3 linked regions of the Notamacropus eugenii genome follow. Each later gene encodes a partner of the first gene's protein in a complex. Links are inferred from orthologs where the notes say so. Each region holds a gene or a part of one and is shown on either strand. Other genes may lie near its edges. The genes, in order: TIMM21, SMIM20 and TIMM17A.

Evidence for each region.
Region 2: TIMM21 (region 1) and SMIM20 share a complex: the UniProt entries of both Homo sapiens proteins name them as parts of the MITRAC (mitochondrial translation regulation assembly intermediate of cytochrome c oxidase complex) complex. The link is inferred for Notamacropus eugenii from reciprocal best matches to the Homo sapiens genes TIMM21 and SMIM20.
Region 3: TIMM21 (region 1) and TIMM17A share a complex: the UniProt entries of both Homo sapiens proteins name them as parts of the TIM23 complex. The link is inferred for Notamacropus eugenii from reciprocal best matches to the Homo sapiens genes TIMM21 and TIMM17A.

What each region holds. Positions count from the first base shown.
Region 1 is NC_092875.1:209,648,281-209,652,029, forward strand, and holds the start of TIMM21 (mitochondrial import inner membrane translocase subunit Tim21), read right to left. Parts: upstream 2,825-3,749; coding exon 2,518-2,824; intron 1-2,517. UniProt on the Homo sapiens protein: Participates in the translocation of transit peptide-containing proteins across the mitochondrial inner membrane.
Region 2 is NC_092877.1:78,809,078-78,812,826, reverse strand, and holds the start of SMIM20 (small integral membrane protein 20), read right to left. Parts: upstream 2,135-3,749; 5' UTR 1,647-2,134; coding exon 1,538-1,646; intron 1-1,537.
Region 3 is NC_092873.1:438,441,379-438,445,127, forward strand, and holds the start of TIMM17A (mitochondrial import inner membrane translocase subunit Tim17-A), read right to left. Parts: upstream 2,648-3,749; 5' UTR 2,559-2,647; coding exon 2,533-2,558; intron 1-2,532. UniProt on the Homo sapiens protein: Essential component of the TIM23 complex, a complex that mediates the translocation of transit peptide-containing proteins across the mitochondrial inner membrane.

The sequences.
Region 1 (3,749 bases):
CAAACCGTTACAGCATCTTTGCCAAGAAAACCCCAAAAGGAGTCATGAAGAGTCAGACATGACTGAAAGCAAATGAACAACTACTAGGGAGTCAAAAACATGGGGTTGGTGTTTTAAATGGTGTTTTCCCAACTAGGATTTAAAGAACTATAGTTTTAAAGACTACAGTTTAAAGGCCAGGGACTTTTAACGTATTTATCTATGTCTAGTGATGCCTACAGACCCTTCTCAGAAGAATGTTTTTACATAATGGAAGGGAAATGCTAAATTTCAATTAGAAGTGGGTGAAAATAAAAGATAGTTGTCATGGTTGAAACCTGCAAGCCCACAGCTTCAAGTGGGCCCAAATATCTGGGGTTACATGTGTAGAAACCAGCACTAAAGAAAATTCTTCTAGTTGATGGTTTTCAAAAAATAGTTAGTCTCCAAAGTGCTTTATTTAAAACTGATAAGACACCACGTTGTCAGGCAAATGGCCAAATCTCCATACATTTTCTACGTACAAATAAAATTCTTCTTTCATCAGTTCTCATAACTGCTACTGTGTTCTGCCCAGAGTTTTGTGAACTGTAAACCACTGTGCACTACTATAAGAATACAACACTGCATGAATTATGCAAAGGGGGCCAGAAAAAAATGACTTTGGTAATTTGTTTAAGACTGAAATAACGTCTTGGCTTCAAAAACTTAGTTTGTCTAGTAATGCCACCCCCACTGGGTAGGTCAGGGACACATTTCAGTAAGTAAGAATGGAAATTGGAAAGGGAATTTGGGCAGGTCAACTGATTTGTAAACTGAACAGATGTGGGGAATGCCCTATACTTTCCATGTATCTTTCTCAACACAGATAAAAATATTGATTATACTTCTTACAAACAGGATCATTTATGAAAACTGAAGAAAGTTTCACGAATGGATTAAATACATTTCTTGAATTTGTCTAGGCTACTTCTAGAAGCAAAAGTATAGCATAATATAATTTAACTTTGAGGAACATTTGATATTGAAAACTAATATATACTGACGTATCCATAAACAAATTTGTGAATGATTAGTTCCTTCTTAAAAAAATAATTAGGACCATATACTTCTCTCTCATAGTCTGGAACACAGGTTCTTAAAAGAGATGAGATAGTTCGAATACCAATTTTGTTAAAGGTAACTCATACATCTAAATCAGGATTTAGATGTATTGTTCACCACACACCTAAGGTTGTCACTCAACCTCCCAACAAAGTTTCAGAAGTGGAGAAAGGTTCAGTGAGCTCTGTCCATGTTCAATATTTGGATTTTCAACAAAAGAAAATAATGTAAAGGAACAAATATACATGCACCATCTGTGACCTTACTCCCCAAAGTAAATCATTTGTTCTCTTTTGGGTCAACTAAGACTCTAATGGATGCTAATTCTCCTGGTTTAGATAATGCCCTTTTCCTTAATCTTTCAATGAATAATACTTCACAATACAGATGTAGAGCTGGGGCAGAGTCCAGAGTCAAACCGAGGCCCTCCAACTCCAAACCCATAGCTCCTGCACTATATTAGGAGTGTCTCTCCAACATAGGGCAACCCACTCACGTTATTTACTACTTGCAAAGCCGCGTGTTAGGTCATAGCCATATTGTACTTACTCTCTGAGACCCAGTTCAAGTCCAACTTTCTCTGTAAAACCTCACTTAGACCCTACTCTCTCCCTTTTATCTGTGGCATAATTAATGCCTTATTATAATCTTATTTTCAGGGCCATGACTGCTCTTTATTTTCTCACCCTGTATATTTTATGATGTGAATCCTGCTTCCCAAATAGGGAGCACTTTAGAGGCAGGGAAGAGCTGCTTTTGTACAACCACAGAACATAGTCCACTATTGGGCTCCCTGAAGGGGCTACTAAATACTTCTTGAGTAAGACTAAAACAATCACACTGAAATTAAACGGGAATATATTTTTCTTTCTTTTTTTGAGTTGAGTTCTAGTAAGTTTTTTCCCAATAAATACTAAAACTCTCTAAGTGATAGCTCCCTTCCTCCTGATTATTTTTTTCCAGGTGTAATCGAGCAGATTCTGATCCTATATAATTAGAAATGAAAAAGAACTTTGCAACTTTGTGGTCTGGTCTGTGGAGAGATTTCCGGGGTGCCAGCACTTGGAGGGGAGGGCTTTGCTTCGATACAATGGTTTCCTTTGTAATTCTATGTACCTATCATTCTGAGAATGGGTCCAAAGGCTGCCAAAGGGTTCCTAACTCACAAGAGTTTAAAACTCCCTCTTTAGAGAGGAGAGCGGGCCTTGGAGAGCGGGAGGGACCTGACCAAGGTAACCCAAGGACGAGGCCGTAACTCAGTAGGATTCGATCCTATTCCACGCGCGCAGGGCCCGAACTTGCTGGCGGAGAGTCCAGGCTGCCGTCAGGGACTCCTGCGGCCTTCACACCCCAGCTCCGGGCCAGGTCCTCCCTTCTTTCCTTACTCACACGTCATTTCTGATTTACGAGCACAAGCCGCGCGCTGACCATTACCTCTCTGGGCAGCGGACAGGGCGGGCTCTTCCCTCCGACTTTTCGGCACAGACACCTGTTTGCCGCCGTCCTCTTCCGCTCTCGGGGGCTTGCTGCCCTGCGTCCAGACGCCTCTCGGAGGGGCCCTCAGGACGCGTCCGGGCTGCAGCACAGCCTCCCTCTGCTGCAGGAGCCCCCACCCCAAACATGGCCACGTCCTAAGACGGGCTCTGTGAGAGGGGGCCAGCTGCAGCGGCAGCAGCCGCTTCCCGGGGGGGCGGCGCAGCTTCTCCGCGCCCTGGGCAGCTCGAAGGAAAGCCGCCAACATCCCGCTCGGACAAGGGGCTTCCGCGGCCGGACCCTGCCGCCGGCCACCCTTGGCACGGGCGCGCACACAGCCCGCCGCGGTCTGCGGTGACCCCCGGAGCCGCAAGCAGGAACGCGGGGTGCATATAGAGACGGGAGCCGCAGCGACTTCTAATTCAAGTGAAGATATCCCTGGAAAAATGAAACTTCTACCTGCTTTCCTTGACGGCCCTCCTTTTACTCAAAAAGAAACGACAACTTTTACCCGCGGCACGCTGACATTCATATAGCCCCCCGCCATTGTATTTCCAAAGTTTCCTGGAAAATATCGAGGATCCCTGGGATGAGTAGTTTGCAGACGTTCGGATGGATAGACTTGCCCGCCGAAGGAAAGAAAAAGTGGACTACAAATTCCACAATGCAATGCGTGCGGAGCTCCAAGGAACTCCCTCGCCACCTCTCAGGCTCTTATTGCAAGGTAGCACGGGATGCACGTAGTTATTAGAACGGGCTATGCTTTAAAAATTGTTGGCAAGCTTCACATTTTCTTTTCCTTTTATCTGCAGTTTAATTATGCAGACCTCTTGCAAAATTAAGAGTTATGTGGATATTTAATAACCATAAAGGGCAAATCTCCCAGTACCCTCAATCCAAAAGTTTGTGTCAATTGAATTGGCTTCATTTTAATTCCTGCGGATTCACTGATTTTTTTTTCTGTAATTATGGGAAAAGTACTTAGGTCTTTGGGTTCTCGTACTTCTTTCGTAAAATAAAGATAATAAGCTTCACAAATCAATCGCAGATTCATCAGCGGTAAAGCTTTCTGTTAATACTTGGTATCGACGTTAGTATGAGTTGTTACCCTTCACGAGCGCTTCATTAAAAAAAACAACAAATGCTTTGCTTCAATTTACAGAAGCCATCGCATAAACATTCTCCAGACGCCG
Region 2 (3,749 bases), on another chromosome or scaffold:
CCTGTTAAAATCTCTCCTTCCTTGAAAGCACAGCTCCCCAATAAAGCTATCCCCAATCCCCACAAGTTAAAGTGATCTCTCTCCTATGACTGTTCATAGCATGCCTAAGCTCTACTTTGCATTTACAACCTTCTGGCATGCCAAACTTATCGATATACCTCTATTAGACTGTAAGGTCTTCAGCACAGTGTGTCTGCGTCTAGCAAAATGCAGGTGCTTAGTTAACTACGTGTTTAATGAATTAATGCTTACACAGTACTACAGAAAGACAAAAGTGTGTCTAACCACTTTATTTCCAGAAGTCAAATTGTGACATTATTCATTTAGGATCTCCAAGCACCTCTGGTTAACTACGGCCAACCTCCAGCTTGACAATAATTCAATTTTCCTAAAGACAAAAGGGATAGATGCTTAAAATATTCTCTTTATGCAAATGTCTTCACAACTCTAATAATCACTGAATTAATCAGGATTAAGCTTTTAAAATTATTGGATTTGATTGCAAAAAGAAAAACAAATCAGTACTCTCGGGATACAAAGTGGTGCCAAGACCACCCTTCTCTTTTTAACATTAGGAGACACCCTGTTTTCCAGAGCTCAGGTCCAGCAAACAAGCTGCGCCCTGAGCTTGGCATAACAACAATCCTTTGCGCTCACTCTGCCCAGCACTGTCTCACACCAGCAGCAGGCGGTCTCATCTTGGACACAGTCACGAAATCCTGCTGTGCATCAGTTGTTACAATGTTGCCGTTAGCCTCACTGTCAAGGTCACAGCTCACTGCGTAGTCATTGGTGTAAGGACCGAGATCCGCCCACACCAAAGTGGGTCTCCTGTGGGGTCTCCGGCACCCGTGGAATCTAGTTTTGGTTTTACTTTGTTTCATTTTATTGTTAAAGCTCACTGTGGTTTTGGTAACGTGTGTCAGCTCCGTGGTTCTTGTTGCAGAGCCGCCGTGGCCCTTGGGTCATTCGGTCAGGGCGGACGGCGGCCAAAGGAACGAAAGACTGAAGTCCCACTGATCGTGGTGGATGGAAAGGAGGAAAAGGGGCCAGAAATGGAACACACTCAGGTGACAGGTCGGGTAAAGATGGCCGCTGAACCCACCCCTGGGGAGCCCAGCGTGGGGCCCCGGCTTTCTCTAAAGGCCGACAGAAGGTCTGGGAGGCCAGGGCGACCACGCGGGGGCAGCGCCGTGAAGCCCGTGTCCAGGGAGACAAGACGCGGCCCCAACACGGGGGCTGGACCGAGGGGCAGGATGGGGGCCAGCAGGAAGAGAGGTCACAGAGCGGGACCGGGACGCGGGAGGGGCAGGCGGGAGGACAGCGGCGTCGATGTACCGTGCCAGGATGCAGGGCGGGGGGCGCCGGCGGCGGACAGCATGGAGGCACGGGGGAGGGGGGGGCAGAGAGAGCGACCCCAGAATGCGGGGAAAGGAGAACACAAAGAGGAACCGGCATGGGGGGCGGGGCGACGGGAAGAGAGGGGTCCCTGGGGGTGTGCCCGAGCCCCAAAGGGGAGGTCAGAGGTCGCACTCACTGTACTCCTCGGTCCGCATCAGGGGCCGGAAATAGATGGGGTAGAAGGCGGCGCCCAAGAGCAAGGCGAAGCCGCCGAAAATCATCGTCGTGCGCAGGTTGCGAGACATGACCCGAGCTCGGGAGGTCCGGCACAAGACACTGACCCAGAAACCCCGGGCCGCGCTCGCCGCACACGCGAGGCGCCCACGGAAGTGGGGGCGGGAAGAGACTTTCACTTCCGGAGCGAGGGGCGGGGAGCGCGTCCAGAGGGGGAGGAGTGTCAGGGAGGGGCAAGGAAGAAGGGAGGTGGGAAGATAGTGGGGCAGACCGTGCTCCCCGCTTCCCCTCCTGCCCCCTGGCTCCCATCTCACAGACCTGGGGCACTTGGGGTCCGAGGAAGGGGGTGTGAAGCCTGGGCGGCCTTGGGCGAGTCACGTGACCTCCCATCTGGGGAATGAGGGAGTGGGGGGGCCTCATCAGCTGAGCCGGCGCTCTCCCCGAAGCTAAATCGGCGGGGACCTCCGCGGAGGCGCCCGGGCGGGATTCCAGCCCAAGCCTCTGCCCTGCGGTCGAAACACTCCACGGCCGAAGGCCCTCCAAGCCCCGGCTGTGGAAGAGGAACGATTCGAAGCGGTGGGGACCGGAGACACGTGACCAGGCCCCGCCCCCGCCTTCGCCCCGCCTCGTGCCCAAGTTTGTGCAGGCTCCTAGGCCCCCCTGTCGGGTTACAACCCGTCTAAAGGGATTCCCTTTGTTCGCTCACCCCCTCCGGCCTCGGCCCCTTGCCCACTGATGTTGCCCCTCGCTGGGTTTGTGAGGTCCTTGGAGGCAGGGCCCGGCTTTTGCCTCTTTCTGTGTCCCCGGCACGTAATGGGCGCTTAATAAATGCTTAGAGGTTGGTTGAGTGTGTGTTAGTTGACAATGGGAAACGTGTGTTATGTGTAAAATACATAATGACATAAATATACACACATTGCGGAGATCCTTTAATAGGCACGAGCGCCGTTTTGGAACGCCTTGGCAGACAGTCTCTCCAAGTCCAGCCTAGTGAAGACTTCTCTGATCGTCCTTAGACCAGCCCCAGGGCAGCGTGGGCTCGCTCTGTGCCTGGCTCGGGAGGACTGAGTTTGTAAAGAAGCTTAACCTTCAAGAACCCGGCTTGCCCTCTACACCGCGGTGAGGCTTTTATGGGGAAATGTACGATACCTCCTCATGTACGTATACATACATGTGTGTGTGTGCGTGTGTGGGAGGTACATCCCCATCTACACGTACATGGAATCTCATTCCAGTGTGTTACTGCTGTCCTGAGGTGCCCTCGGTGATGAAAGACTGCCAGCGGTGGCAGAAAAGGCTTTGACACCGTCCGGGAACAGCGGGTGATGCCACTTTCCAAGGATCAGCCCAGCTACATGGAGGGACGCTCATCAGCGGCTGGGAGGCTGGCCATCAGATAACGAATTCTTGGACCAGAGCAACCCATGAAACAGAAGAAAGCAGTGACCCGAGCTCAGCCTTCTGTGGTCTCGTTCTGCCCCTGCTGAGAACTGCCTAAAAAGAAGTAGATGGGGCATTCAGAATCACACAGCCTTTAGACCTTTGCATAGCTCTGAAATGTGACATCTTTGTAGATGAATAGACATATTTTTGGAAGTAAGGGAGTTATATCGGTACTGACAGGTGTTACAGCCACATCTACGGAAGACCCAGAAAAGAAAGTTTTTGTCACCAAAGTCCTTGGCACTGTCAAAGTTCTGATGGTCAACATCAAACACCAGAATGATTTCAATGGTGTAAATGCTGTTTTCTTTTAACAAGAGGCATTCCTGTCTGCTTTGCCACTGTACTGTAAGGATCATTAAACTTTTCCATCTGAATTGCAACTGAAACCTTCCATAAGTATTATCTCCCTCAGAATGTGAGCTCCTTGAGAGCAAAGGCTGTTTTCCTTTTTCCATTTATACCTCTAGCTCTTAGCACAGTGTAAAGCAAATAGTAAGTACTTAATAAATGTTTCATTCATCCATTTTTCCTCCACTAAATAATCAATAGCTGACATCCCAAGAGAATCAAACATTCTGCTGAAGTACTTTGATAACCTCTAAGAATGATATGGCAAGATGGATGCATAGCAATATCTTTCTCAAATCAATAAATCAATCAATACACATATATTAAGCGCATGTTATGTTTTAGATACTTTTAGGCTTCGTAAGTGAATGGGAAAGTGA
Region 3 (3,749 bases), on another chromosome or scaffold:
AAAACTAAATTTTCCACTTGGCATATGAAGCCTTTCACAATCCAACTCCAGCCTATCTTTCCAGGCTGATAACGCATTATGCATTCTATATTCCAGTCAAACTGGCCTACGTGTGATTGCTCATACAGGAAACTCCTTTCCATCTCCAGCTATGATTTTGCTCTCCTTATTCATCTCTGCTTCTTAGAACTCCTTACCTCTTTTCAAAGTTCAGAAGTTCAAGTGCCACCCCCTATAAAAAGCCACCCCTAATTTCCCCAGTTAATGCTTTCTCTCACTACCACACACAGAAGGCAAAGGGATATCACGAGGAGAAAGACTGAAAAGAGACCAACGGAAATGGTGATTATGGGGTCCATACTGACCTGTGAGATGTGAAGTTTTAGTACAATAATGGAGTTTGTTTATCTTTCATACCTACCTTTTTCATCCCTGATACTATTACCACTTTGGTTTAGATCTTTCCTTCTGGCCTATTCAAATAGCTTCCTATAAGTTTTCCCTGACTTTCTCCTCTCCTCTTCAATTCATTCTTTTCACTTAGTGACCAAAATAATCTTCATAATACACTACTTAGACTGACCATGCCATTTCCCTTCTCAAAAATCTTCAGTTGCTTCCTGTTATTTATGTGAAATACAAGCTCCTTCCAGTATTTATGACCCTTTGCAATCCGGTTACAACCTACTTTTTCAGTCTTACTTTGGCTTTAATCAAATTCATGCATTCCACATTCTAACTACTCTCTAACCAATCTACAAGTTACCCACACCTAGATAATTTTAAATCTTTTGTTTCTGTTCATGCCTGCAAAAGACTACCCCATCCCAATCTCAACCCAAAGGAATTTTTTTTATACCTTCAATATTCAGTTCAGTTAGCATCTCCCCCATGAAGTGTTTCTGGATCCACTCACCGAAGTTTATCTACACCTTCCCTTTACTATTATCTCATTCTTACCAGATATCATACTTATCTGCATATATTTCTTCCATGAATTCAGAAAAGATCTCTGGAGACTAGGACTCTTTTTCTTCTTTATACCTCCCCAGCACCCAGTACAATTCTTTGTATACAGCAGAGTTAATGTCAAATTGAAAGACAGTTTGAAAAGGATTAAGAAATAAAAAGTGGAAGCAGCTAATATATGCAAAGTGGAGCTTGAAAAACCAGAAGGTTGGTAGGCTTTTTCCCTACCAGAACAGAGGAAAGTGAAAAAGGAATAAGCATTTATGATGTCCCAAGCACTTTTTATATTATCTCATCTGATCTTCACAACAACCCTGTAAGGTATTTCCATTTAATAAGTGTCTTGTAAAAATTGAACTCTGATCTTCCTGATTCTAGGTCAAGTCCTCTATATTCACTATGTTACCAGCTGTCTCTGACCATGTTTGTAGGAAAGAAGATTTTGGTAAAGATGAAAATTCAACTAGGGAGATTAACCAATAGAGTAAGTTAATAGGGGAGTTGGAAGAGTGGTAGAGATAGCCATGTCAACTTCCTGCTCACAGATGGCCCTCAAAAGGTACTCTTTCTGAAGGCAAATGTTTCCCAAGAAGATAGGCCTTATAAAACTTACACCTGAAGCGATTTCATTCAGAAACTGCATGAACCTGGCTCTAAGGTTAATAACCTTATAAATAACCACTGTATTTCAAGGGGAATTTAGAGCTCTGAGCTCCTAACAATATAAGTTATCAAGGACAAAAGGCTAAGTTAACTTAAATGACAAGACTGATTCTTTGTATGAACATTGTTACAAATCGGAGAACATTGTTGCTTCCTCTTCTCAGACTCTTGGGATCACCCCTCCTACCCAACTTTCTTCTTAATGTACAAGGGCTGTTGAAAAATGGAACATTAGATGGTAAGCTCCTTGGAGGTAGCGACGTCTTTCGCCTCTTTGTGTATCCCCAGGTTTAGCACAGTGCCTGCACACAGAAGGCGCTTAATAAACGTTTATTGAGTTGGACTGAACATCCCAAGGGGGATGGTGGGTCGGGGTGGGGAGGTACCTGCAGCCCTTCATCTAGAAGCCTGGGTGGAGGAGTCTTTAAGCACACAAGTTACCCGAGAAGGCCAGGTTATTTCAGACACACTTCGCTCTAAGGCCATACGAGGCGGCCTCGCGGACCCTTCCCACCCACCCCCACGCTCCTGGGGACGAGGTGGGGGATGGGGCCGCAGGAATTGGGGCAAGGTAGGCCAAGGTACTTTCCCTCCCGCTGCCAGAGATAGGGGGCCTGGCTGTGGGCCTCGGACTTCGGCCCCTTCTCCCGATGACCCCGCGGAATCCCGCCAGGGCGCAGCCCAAGGCGGCGGGGGCGGCGATGGGGCCGAGGAGGGGGCGCCGGGCCGAACGCAAGGTCACGACCAGGCCGGGCCAGGGAAGCCGGGGAGGCCTGCCGGGCCAGAAGCCGGCCTGGTGGGCAGGGGCGCGAGCGCCCGGAGCAGGCCGCCTCGCGAGGCCGGGGCGAGAGGCAGGGAATCGGGGCCGGAAGGAGCAGACCGGCGGTCGGGGAGGCTCACCAGGGCTCACGAGCGTACTCCTCCATCTTGGCTACGGTGGCGAAGGGGATGCCGGGCAAACAGGGCGGAGCTCCCGAGCTCTCCCCAAAGTGTCCCCGGTCTCTGGGAGGGTCCTGGGGGAGGGCCGGGCGGCTAATGGGACGAGGATTGGTTCGCCTCTTTATGCGTATAGCCAATGGGAGAGGCAGACCGGGGAGGTGTGGGGGGCGCGGCTTCTCGAGGATTTGCTAAAGGAGCTGGTCCATCCCCGGCGAGGCTGGCGTCAAGGGTTCGAATCCTCGCTCTGCCTCGGCTCTTTCGGCTGGTTTCATTTTCGCTTGGAAAGCTTCCTAAACCCTAAAGAGATTTTGCTTTGAAATACTGAATTACGCTTACGAATTAATGTTTCATGGGGTCATACGATTAAAGCCCAGGAGGGACCTTGGAGGTCATTTGGCCTGTAAACCAAGAGGACTTGGGTTCGAGTCCTAGTCTGGACACCTGCTCTGCCTAGAGCACCGAATCTGGAGGCAGGGAGAGTCGAGACGCTGCAGACGCTGAAGGGCTGGGCGACCCTTGGCAGGTCACGTAACCTCTGCCTGCTCACCCGAAGTGGGACGATAATAGTGGCTGTTGGGATCCATTAGTTTGCTGTCAGTCGACAAACGTGAAGTGCCTACTTTGCACCAGGCACTGTACTAAGCGATGGGGATACGAAGAGGGGCAGGAGATAACCCCTATCCTCCGGAAGATCCCTGCCTCATGAGGGAGACAACTGCAAAGAGGTCTTAGGTATAACCCGCTTTGCCAGACCTCCAAGTACTTATGACAGTGTGATCTGGGGGTGGCTCTAAGTTTGCAGAGACCTGCCCTGATAAAGGGAGTTTCTTCTCCCCGAGATCTTTATAAGGGATGCCACCATTCATCCTGCCCCTTCCTCTAAGTGAGTACCTGAAAAGACCAAGGTCCCCCACTGCATCCTGGGCCATCTCCAGTCATCCTGATGAATATCTGGTAACTGGATCCTGATGGCTCTGGAGGAGAAGTGAGGCTGGTGACCTGCACAGCCCTCCCTCACTCAAAGTCAAGGGCAAGTCATGTCATCACTTCTCTGATGTCATGGTCTTCTTCAAAAACGAAGGACAAACAACCACTACTTGGAGTAGTCCCAGAGATGCTTCCAGAGAGTCTATACAATTGAAACCTGCATCTCAACAGCTCGAAAATCAGTCATTTTA